Regions from separate parts of the Mus musculus genome. Here regions 1 and 2 are each reported to be linked to region 3. Evidence: microRNA targets listed by miRTarBase, many of them from high-throughput screens and not tested one by one. Region 3 holds a microRNA gene; each other region holds the end of a gene's coding sequence.
What was found. Region 3 holds the annotated microRNA mmu-miR-23b-3p (AUCACAUUGCCAGGGAUUACC, at 1,691-1,711, opposite strand). A microRNA usually pairs through its seed, bases 2 to 8, with sites in the 3' UTR of a target mRNA and lowers its output. Matches are read on the target gene's strand: a 7mer-m8 pairs with bases 2 to 8, a 7mer-A1 pairs with bases 2 to 7 and ends in A, and an 8mer does both.

Region 1 (3,000 bases), not on the chromosome of region 3:
GATAGAGGGCCAGAGTTTCTTGCTCAATCCTAGGATGGCCCACCCTTGTTCCCAGAAATCCAAGCCCTAAGGTTCCACATACGCCCTGGGCACTCTTGTGGAACCCAGGAGATAGTGGTTGGGCTGCACTGAAGGCAAATCAATGGCATGATATAATCCACGAAACAAAACTACAGCAGAAAACACTGTAAGTGAAACCTCCACACAACAGAAATGGACTGCTTAAGACGTCACTTCAGTCTCCACTCTAAGCTGAGCCCTTTCACATCAAGACTTATAGGGGAGCAGCTTCTTCAACAAAACCATCTTTGGCCTGGGGAGGGAACTGTGCTCGAGGACAGTGCTAGTGCTGTGCTAATGCACTGGGCAAACGGGATAATGGAAGTACATGGTCTCCCCAGCTGGCTAGCTGGCTAACTGAGCCAGCCATGGCTGACCATGGCTCTGCTGGGGCAAGTGCTCCTTTTAGAAATCACAAGTAGGTATGAAGTTTGGGGTCTGTTCCAAAGGTGGGGTCACTCCTTTGCTTCTAATATCATTAGGAAAGTTTCATTTGGTCCTGGAGCACAGGACAAATCTGTGGACAATGAAATGGGAGAGCTAGAGGGAACCAGAGGAGCAGGGAGAACGTGATGTTCTGGCCGAGGAGGAAGGCAGAACAGAAGGTTAGGGAGCACAGCACTGGCAGCTCCCTGTGGAGCACAGCTCTCGCCTCTGCCAATTCACAGCATTAATGTTAGCCTTCCCCTTGGACAGGTTACCTGGGCTGCAAACGGTCACAGAAAGTCAGTAGTTTCAATCATACACAGCACCCTGTGTGTACAACAATCACATTCTGGATTCTACAAAATCCTGGCCTTTTCCAGAGATATAATTTAGGTAATAAATATTCTCCACCCCGGAGCTGTATAAAACTTCTATAAAAATAGAAACAACATTCTTGGTTCCGGCCGGTTGGGATTCTGAGCAGTGCCTGCCCAACCTAGCATTTTTTTCTTTTTTTTCCTTTTAAAGTTTTTTATTTTTTATTTTTTTTGCATTATTTTAAAAAATTCCATCAATACCCTGGAAGCCTTTAGAACAGTTTTATCTTGAAACACAGGACACTTTTCTCCCAGTGCACAGAATTCAAGTTTACGTGGTTCAGCTTAAGAAGTGTATGTTTCATGTTTAAGAGGACAACAGACTCAACTTATCACTATAAGAGAACAGCTGTCCCAGCATCAATGGGATAACACACCACTAACAACTTCCTGTACAACAGCAAGATGGTCAATCCCTGTTTGTTATCCACAGGGACAGCATGACAAGGAGAGTCCCTATCTGACTTAAAGCAGGTTAGCCCCTTCTAATCTCTGCTGCTAGGAGTCAAGACTTGTAACTTATGAGGTTTAAGCTTCCAATGACCCAGGAACCCAGGCCCTGGCTGTGACTACTAATCATATATTTATAGGGCTACCTCTGCTCAGATGCACATTCCCACAGCTTCTCTTAGAGCAGGAGAGCCCAGAGGCTATGTGGGACACTGGCAAAGGCTGGAGTTAAGACCCATGAAAGGCAGCAGGGAGCTTACTGTAAGCATGATGACAAAATGAACATGGGTTAATACTGAGGTAAATGAACACTAAATCCATATGGAGCCTGTAAACGTCCTATACTTTCTTCTGTCTTCAAGGACAGAAAATGGGGCTAGAGGAGAGGCCTGCCAGACCTTATGGGAACACAGCTTTTGGAGTACCTTCATTAAGGAATCAGAAATGCACTTCTGAACCTTCTTGAATACTAGGCTCTGCTCAAATATAGCAAAGTGGCTTGAAGTGACCTTGATTCAGGCACACCAAGAAGCAGGTCTCTCTTCCCTTAATCAGATGGCTTCTTGACTGCTCTGCCCATGAACTGCACCCTTGTTGGCTAGAGATGCTGTTAAGAGTGTCTTATGTCCCCTCATGAGAAAACTGTGGCCAGAGAAGGAGGCAACATTCCTTGGTGTTATGAACTTCCATATACTTTCTACAAAAGAGACTACTGGAAATGGGTACATTCTAACTTCATGTTAAAATTAATGAAAATGACCTCTCTGGCTGCTTCCCCTAAACAGCCACCAACCAGGCAGGGCAATCAATATAACACGAATGTCGGGCTGGGCTGCCTAGTCATGGGTATCTCCCTCCTATTTGCATATTTCAGGCTAACTGAAAAGTGCATTATTTCATGAGACTTGCTTACCCCCTTTTAGGAAAGAAGGGCAGAAATCCAGGACAAAAATTAGAAAAATAGGTGGCATAAATTCAGCATTTCCACAGAAAGCAGCCAGTTCTAAGGGGTCTAGAAGCTAAGACACCTCACCCACTCACCCACCCCGTACCTCATTAGACTTAGTTCTCACTCTTTCCACACAGGGAGAGAGACTTCGGGGATCAACTTTCTGTTCTGCTCAGCCCTCTCTTTCCATGGTTTGGGGCATGTTCTAATTATCTTTTAAACCCATTTCCCTCTTCCTCAAGGTGGACTGGTGTTGGTCCTTCTCAACAAACTGGTTACAAACACAGCAAACTTTAAATAAAGGGAAAAAGAAACAAAACAAAACAAAACAAAACAAAACCCCTCAGGATATGGCACCTAAACTCCAAAGTAAAACACTGGAAACCAAAGCACAAACTTGTCCTCTGTACGAAGCGACACTCCCACAGAAGGCAGTAGCTGAGTCTTCAGGGCAAGCTGTGCCTGCGAGAGTGGCAGGGATCAGGGTCCAGGGCTGTTAACACACAGCCTTAGGGCTTCGAATGATTAAGGGTGCTCCTCCCCCACTTACCAGAAGATCTTCTCACTCCAGTCTCAGAGGGGAGCACTCAGTAGGGCTTACTATCATTCTTCGAACGTTTGAGCTGCACTTTAAGCCTCTTCATTCCAATTTGAAAGCCGTTCATGGACTGGATGGCAGCTTGAGCTGAGACAGGATTGTCATAACTTACAAAACCTGTGTGTTCAAGCAGAAACCTA
Region 2 (3,000 bases), not on the chromosome of region 3:
CATATGATATATGTATATCACACACATATATACATATATATACATACACACACATATATATGTGCATATATATAGAGATATAGATATAGATATAGATTCTGAGTTTTTGGTCTTAGATATATGTAAAACCACAGTCTCTTCCCTTTACCTAAATGAGAAGCAACTTAAAAACTTGTTTAAAGTTTTACTGAATTCTTTGCTTAGAGGCATATAAATTAGATTTTATCTACAAAATGAATTTTATAGTATCATCCTAAAAACTAATAATTTCTTAAAGAAAAAGGAATATACATGGAGAGAAACCTATAGTAGAAATTATGACCTCTATAGTCCCTTAAATATATGATCTTGCTATTTGAGAATTCTTGTGTCCCAAAATTACATCCAGTATGCTATATGTCATACAATTCCATTATTTTCTCAAAAAGATATATTACATAAGATAATTAATATTTGGGTATGTGTGTATTTATAATTCTAAAACTTGGGAAACAAGAGACAGAAGGAAACAAAGTGCAAGGCTATCTTTGGCTACATAGCAAATTTGAGAATGACTCATTCAATATGAGGCTTTGTTTCAAAACAATTGAGAAAGTAAGTACTATTTTATATTCCTCACCAGGCTCAAAGGCAAAATCTAATGGCCAGTGTGAGAAGTAATTTGCCGCATTCACATGACTGGACTATGACATTAACAGCTGTAGAATGCACATTCTCAAGATTATTATGCCAGTGTGTAGTTAGGCAGTACTCCTTCAATTATTTTTCTTTTTTCACAAACCAACAACCACCTCTCCTTGGAATTACTAATTTATCTGTAAACTTATAGAAATTCCACAGACACCATTTTAATTTTAATATTTATTACCATCAAAATTCGTGATTTAAGATTTATACAACAGTAACCACCACCATAGAATCTAAAAAGAAATGAAGCTGTCTTCTATATGTGTGATAAAGCTTTAATTTATTCCTGTTCAAAAATATACCATGTTTAACATATAGATCCTTGAACATGCACTGGAGTTTAGATTAGGCAAGGAAGTTCACTCAACATAGCACACAAGTCTGAAATATCATCTTGTTTTGTAAGTTTGACCTGAATTTTTGAAATGTGATGAATTCACATAGGCATAAAAATAAGTTATGATTGGTAAGGAATCAGTATTGCACATCAAGCCTGGACAAGCCCAAGTTTTTTTTTATGAGGTTTATTTTTATTTTTATTTTTGTAGTATGTGTTTTGTGAAAACTCTTTGTAATCTAGACAGCATTGCTATGATGTCATAGTTTATGTCTCCACAGTTCAGTCTACATGAGCATTGCACATTGCCCATAGGAGGGATAGGAAAGTGTTCCAAGGATAAAAAAAATATATGTGTAACTAAATATACAGGTGGTTATTTGATGCTAAATGTTTTAGTATGCTTGTCTGTTAGTACTGAATCACATGAAATCCAAATAATAACAGGATTTATTGTAATCATGTGATATACAAAAGATTACCAAGCATAAGTTAAGGTACTAATTTCAGCAATGTGTCCTATTTGATAGCATTAATAATTATATACCAAATTAAGTTGATAAACTGTATGAATATCTTCTTTCTTAAGGTAGTAAATTTTCCTTCTGATTCCTGAATATTAAAAAATAGGTGATAAACTGATTGGATCACATGAACAGGGGACTTAAATCTAGTAACTCACCGTGATATCAAACAGTGCAAAAATAATATTAGTGATTCTAAACTGAAATTTGAATAAATACTGAAGAAGTTCTACTTTTGTAGAAAGCAAAGCAGGGTATCACTCCATGAATTCAGCATCTCTTATCTGAAATCAAAGTGAGTCAAAGGAGAGAGGTCTTGTGCTTCTGTGTTTGGTGCAAGATACAAAGCTCTTTGGTTTTTAAGGATAAGCTTAAAGCACATTTTCATTACTAAGCCATGGGACTAAATTGAACAAATCGGTGATCAAACAGTTCTATTAAATAATTGTGTCCAAGATTGGCTAAGGGGGAGCAGATTTTCCTAGACGGAGGATAAGATGCAAACATAAGTAGATACTACATCCACATGGGTATAAGCTTTGTGAGCATATAGATTAGGAACACTGCAGCGAGGCAGGAGAGTCAGTAGTGAAGCAGCAGATATGAAGTACCCGTATCGATACAAAGTTTTGTGCTACAGTTTCAACCTCCCAGTGTTTGCCTGGAGCCTATCCAAATGAAAGCTACTCCACTTATGCACAACCTAGAAAATGGAGTCTGAGTTTCAATGAATTTTTAATTTTGTTCAATCTTGAATGTGTTCAACCGAAAACAATTTAAAGAGGGCTGCAGCTATCAGCTTCAGTGTAAGTGAGTTCAGCTCCTTGTAAGAGACTTCTTGAATTTCCCATAAAAATCAACAGCGTGCGTCTAACGGCATTCTTTTAATTTGCTCATCAAAATGTGAATCACCACATCAGATATTCTTCAGGGCCCCTTTGGCTCGCAGATTAACCATGCCATTTTGCCACATTTTCTGAATTCTCATTTTAAATAATCATAAATAGCAAACCCTTGGTATTCTTTGGCATAGCACAGCTGTTTGATTCAGCTGAGTTTCTAAGTCTTAGAAATTGCACTTGTTCCTCTTTAAAGTCCCCAGTAGTCTCCTAAGGTTTCAGCTGAAGGATTCTTTATTGTATTCAAATTTTGTCCCATATGAGTTGTTCCGGTTACTCAAACTATGAAGAGTCTTGGAAATAGAACTGGGTCCACAGCAGAAAACTCCAACTGTTTTCCTGGAAAGAGAAGAGAAGTAGGAAATCAGGTACAAAATTTGGCAGAACAGGACAAGAAGCCTACTGTATGAGCACGGGTTTAAAGTATTTGCAAAGTTAATTTCTTGTTCCTTTTCATCTTAAAACCATTTTCCAATTATGATATTCATAGTTGGATTCAGGAAAAAATGTAACTATGGGCATAAATTGGCTGCTAGAAATTATGCAGTGTGTT
Region 3 (4,661 bases):
CATTTTCAAAAACAGGAATGCTCTGTTGACTGAACACATCAAAAGGGCTTTGCAGAATCCTTGGGGACCAGCCACAGGAGGTGTCACATGATTCTGCAGTCTCAGAGCATGGCAGCTAGTTTTTGCAATCACAGGAAGCAGGCAACCGGCTCTCCATCTGCCTAGGGGAGGGTGTCCTTCATTGAATGACTGCCTTAAAGTCACAGCTCAATTCCAGTGTGTAGACTCAGTCTCTCTAGGACTGGGAACAAAGGCAGCTGCCAGGTGCAACAGTTTATGAGGCTCCGCCTTTTATATATGCCACGGGAGCCCAGTCTCTGGAAGCCCAAGATGGACCAACCACTGCTGTGGGCTGATGGCCTTAGCAGCCACATAATCCTCCCTTTGATGTCCAGGGTCAGTGCAGTCCTGGCCCCACCAGGGCTAGGAGAAGGTATATGAGAATCTCACTGTGATCTGTCCTGTGGAGGAAACAGCAATAAAATTTATTACCCAGTCACCACAGCCATTCCAACAGGAGTCCTCCCAGCCTCTGACCTCCACTTGAGAGGGAACTTTTCATGGGAGGACAGGGGCAACACTGAAGCCACACCTCACAATCCTGGGTCTGGGGTGCACAGTCACGGCACAGGCCATGCAGGGCTGTGAAGCCCAGAGAGGTTCAGAAAGGCTCTACAGACAAGGCCCTTCAGACAGGCATTCTCACTGCTCAAGGCAGCGGTGACATGGTGTGCTCTGCCCCAACACGTGGCAAATGCTCAGCGCCTGCCCTACCTGCTTCTAGGGAATGCAAACTTTCCAAGGTTAGCTCTGCACTCTACAAATCCCCACCTCGGGAGCACATACAGAGGGATACCACTGCTGTTGGGTCTGGTACCAGACACTCAGGCCCTTCATCTTCTTCTCCGTGGGAGGCCTGCCTCAGGCACTTACAGATGGGTAGGCTTTTTGCTCAAGGGCTCGACTCCTGTTCCTGCTGAACTGAGCCAGTGTGTGAAATGAGAACTGATATCAGCTCAGTAGGCACCGGAGGGCGGGTCCAATCACAGCTGGGCAGTGCCTCCTGGCGTGCCCTGGGCATCATCTTGCCAGCGACTGTGGAGACATGGAGACCTGGACTGCAAATACAAGAAAGAGTTCACCACGCCCAGCAGGGACAAAGAACCACACCCCCACCCATCACGTGTGGCATCAGCTGAGACAAGGTTGGCTCAGTTTCCTTGATGCACCTGGGTTTAGTTTTCTGTGACTCCCAATACACTTGACATTACAGTGAACTAATTAGCAGTAGAACTGTATTTTCTGTAGACACACTTAAGGGTGGTCAGCACGCTGTTTGCACTCTTGACAACACAGCCTTGAGGCAGGCTGGTCTCTCCTCCTCTGGAGTGACCACCAGGCAGTGGCCTCTGCCTGGCAGCTGCAAGTTAACTGTCCCCATCTCACCTTCTCTTCAGGTGCAGAACTTAGCCACTGTGAACAAAGCGGAAACCAATCACTGTTCACCAATCAGCTAAGCTCTGCACCTTGTTAGAGAGGTCATCGCCGGCCATAATTAAAGGGCTGGTGAGCATCTTCGAAGGCTGTTGGCTTCTTTTGTTTCCAAAGAGCCACAAGGCGCCTCTGTTCTCCAAACTGCAGAGAGAAAGTAGCCACGGTTCTGCAGGAGCAGCCAAGGTCATGGTTGCGTGGTAATCCCTGGCAATGTGATTTTAATCTCAAGTCACAAATCAGCATGCCAGGAACCCAAGCAGCCAGAGCAGGTGAGGGCAGCACCATGCCCAACCACTCCCATCCACATGTGCTGAGTGTCCTCCAAACCGCCTCTGAGCCCACCACGCTAGCAGTGCAGCCTGCTGTCCTTCAGCGCGCTGGCTGCACTGTATAGAGGAGCATAGGGGACTGGGAGACAAAGGACACACTTATCAGCTATGAGACCAATACCTTAGGGACCATCCTTGCTCTGAGTATGTGGCCTTTAACCCTGGGACACACCCTGTTCTCCAATTGCAGACTGAATGGGTTGGGATGTCTCTGGGCCCCTCAGACAGCAGGTGTGGTGTGTAGGGAGGGAGCATCTCTCTGGCTTGCCTGTGACCAAGCATTTGGTTGGATAAGCTGAGGCATAGCACAGAGCTCATAGGGGACCTAGCAAGTTGAGGATTTGCTCACTCAGGGGGCAAAAATACTCTTAGAAGAGTCACTAGGACCACTATGTGACTATGGCTTTCCTAAGTGAAGGCCTAGGGACCTAAAAAGGGAACAGTGGCTTTACTGTGTGACCTTCACACACCACATACCAACAATCCCTCAGCTTACAAGTTTCTAGAGAAATGTCTGCAGGAGGCAGTGAAGAGGCGCCCCGACCGACTCTGTCTATCCACACAGGCCACCGTCCTAGCTTGTAGTGTGCAGGCTTAGCAGGCTGTACCTGCTTACTCCAGCCCACTATCTCCCCTGCTTGACTGTGGCGGTCCCCAGCTCTTCTGCAACAACATGGTCATACATAGTAACATGTTTTCCCTTCATCAGTGTAGTTCTTCAGAAAAATAAACATTACACAGAAGTGGGTTTTATAAAAGTGAAATGTGAAAATGTAAATTTAATGTCTGACAATGGGTTAAGATTAGCAACACAATTCTAAATATTCATTAATTGGTAATCATAGAGAACAACAGAGTAACACAGTGATTGATGTAAAATTTCAAACATATACAAAAGTAAACATCATATGTACCACCATGGCAAGCGATAATGTCCTGGGATGATGTAGAGATGATGACTGGCGACTATGAAAGAGACGCACTAGCCCACACCTGTCTCAGAACTCCACGCCCTGTGGCTGAACTGCATTACTGGTCCACAAGCTGGCTACAGAGGAGGCAAGTTACACCACAGCCAAGGACTCTGGGAGCCAGCGTAAATCCTGTTCCAGCACGAGATGGAAACAGACTTGCCTTTAGGACGCAAGTGTCACTTGGATGGAGGGGCAGAGAAGACCTGCTGCCTACTCTACAGGTCAGAGAACCAGAGGCCAAGGAGTCTCAGGTTTACACAGCCTCTAGGAGAGATGCCTGCATGCTGAAGCCTGGAGCAATGAGGCCATGGACCGCTGTGTTGACCTTGACCCTGGAGCCTGTGGACCTGTGCAAAATCCAGGGTGGCTAAAGCAGTGCCAGATCTGTTGCTCCTTCAGCTGTACCTGCTTCACACCCATGCTTCCAGCAGGTGAGGTGCTCCAGAGATCCTGAGCCTTCTTCCTGTTCCTGAGGACCCACCTTGCTGCTTCCTCCCCAAGACCGTTTGGCAGCCCTCTGGTGCTGTGGCTCATCATGTGGCTTACCAATTGACATGGATGGTTAGAAGAAAGAAAAGAGAATTACCTCTTTAGAACAGCATTTCAGTCACCACCTGGGCCGATGCTCTGTCCATGTGTTCCTTCACCAGCTCAAAGCACCTGTGGGCTAGCTGCTGCAGCCTGGCGTCCTCACTCACCATCAGCTCCCCATACAGGTATATGCCCATGGCCTGCAGACCGTGAAGGCCAGAGAAGAATGGGAAAGGGGTAAGAGGCTGCACATGTTTATGGGGACTTGTTTGTATTGCTTTACACAAGCTGGTCTAAAAGCACAAAGGACAGAGAGAGAGCCTGCTGCCGTGCAGGTGACCAACTGAAGCTTGCACCTTCTACTCTGTCTCCATTGTCCTTATCAACACTCTATGGAAGCTGAACATGGTAGCACAGGCCTTTAATCTCAGCACTGGGAGGAAGAATAGGACGATCTTTGTGAATTCAAGGCCAGCCTGGTCTACATAGCAAGTTCTAAGCCACACAGAGTCACACAATGACACCTTGTCTCAAAAAACAACAGAAATACAGAATTCTATTGATTCTGTCAACCGACTCCGGTGCCCGAGTAGCAAGCTATCCCAAGATGGCTATTGTCAGGAATACACTGGGCAGAGGCAGAGAGCTCTCAAAATGGTCACCATGGAAAACCTTGTCTGTCAGGCCAGTGCATCCTAAAGGGTAGCTGGCATGAGCTTGCTTACAAAGTCCATCACCTAACAGGCCACAGAGACCACATGGCCAGCAGTGCAGGCAGGGCAGATGCTGTCACTTTGGCCTAACCCAGCCACCAAATGTCAGACTCTTGGCTCTTCTGCTTTGAAAACAATGCTACAAAGGCTTGAATTCTCACTGAGCCAACATTAAAAAAGCAGCCAATTACATTCTGCAAGTTCTGCCCGCTTTCTTGTTCTATGGAGTTTCTCAAGGGTTACATTCTGCTTCAAATTCAAGTGTTTCAAAGGCAGCATAGGATAAAAACTCAGTGTCGGCTTCCAAAGAGCTTTCCTGCAGGGGCTGAGGCGTGGAGGTCCCTGTACAGCAGACAGCATGGCTATGCCAGTGAGCTGCTCTTAGCTCTGTTCCTGTCTGCTTTCTCAAACAATTCTTACTCCACTGTGCAAATGTGACATTTCTGCTGTAAAAAAGTCACATCCTTTGCTTTATGGGAAAAACCAGCCCTCACTTTGACTCTGTCAAAAGTCCTTTTGTCCACCACACCCCCACTTTCCATCCCATTCAAAGTGGCTCTAGCCCATCAGCCCACAGTATGCACACAGGCTAGCCAGAGGCGCCAGTTGGGGTTGGGAGT

Region 1: the mRNA of Celf1 is a reported target of mmu-miR-23b-3p. The part of its 3' UTR that is shown has no 7-base or 8-base seed match.
Region 2: the mRNA of Nox4 is a reported target of mmu-miR-23b-3p. Seed matches in the 3' UTR shown: 7mer-A1 at 1,123-1,129.

The regions. Positions count from the first base shown.
Region 1 is chr2:91,013,215-91,016,214 of GRCm38, reverse strand. Celf1 (CUGBP, Elav-like family member 1) reads right to left here. Exons shown (of 14, transcript NM_198683.2): 13 at 2,813-2,977. The coding sequence ends at 2,850. Among named protein-coding and RNA genes, the nearest start is that of Gm13777, 17 kb to the left of the region's middle.
Region 2 is chr7:87,396,557-87,399,556 of GRCm38, reverse strand. It overlaps Nox4 (NADPH oxidase 4), which reads right to left. Exons shown (of 18, transcript NM_015760.5): 18 at 847-2,786. The coding sequence ends at 2,666. Among named protein-coding and RNA genes, the nearest start is that of Tyr, 95 kb to the left of the region's middle.
Region 3 is chr13:63,297,579-63,302,239 of GRCm38, reverse strand. Mir23b (microRNA 23b) reads right to left here and starts at 1,756; the gene lies at 1,683-1,756. It overlaps Aopep (aminopeptidase O), which reads right to left. Exons shown (of 16, transcript NM_001289926.1): 16 at 1-3,528. The coding sequence ends at 3,388. It overlaps Mir27b (microRNA 27b), which reads right to left and starts at 1,528; the gene lies at 1,456-1,528. It overlaps Mir3074-1 (microRNA 3074-1), which reads left to right and starts at 957; the gene lies at 957-1,041. It also overlaps Mir24-1 and a transcript of Fancc not described here.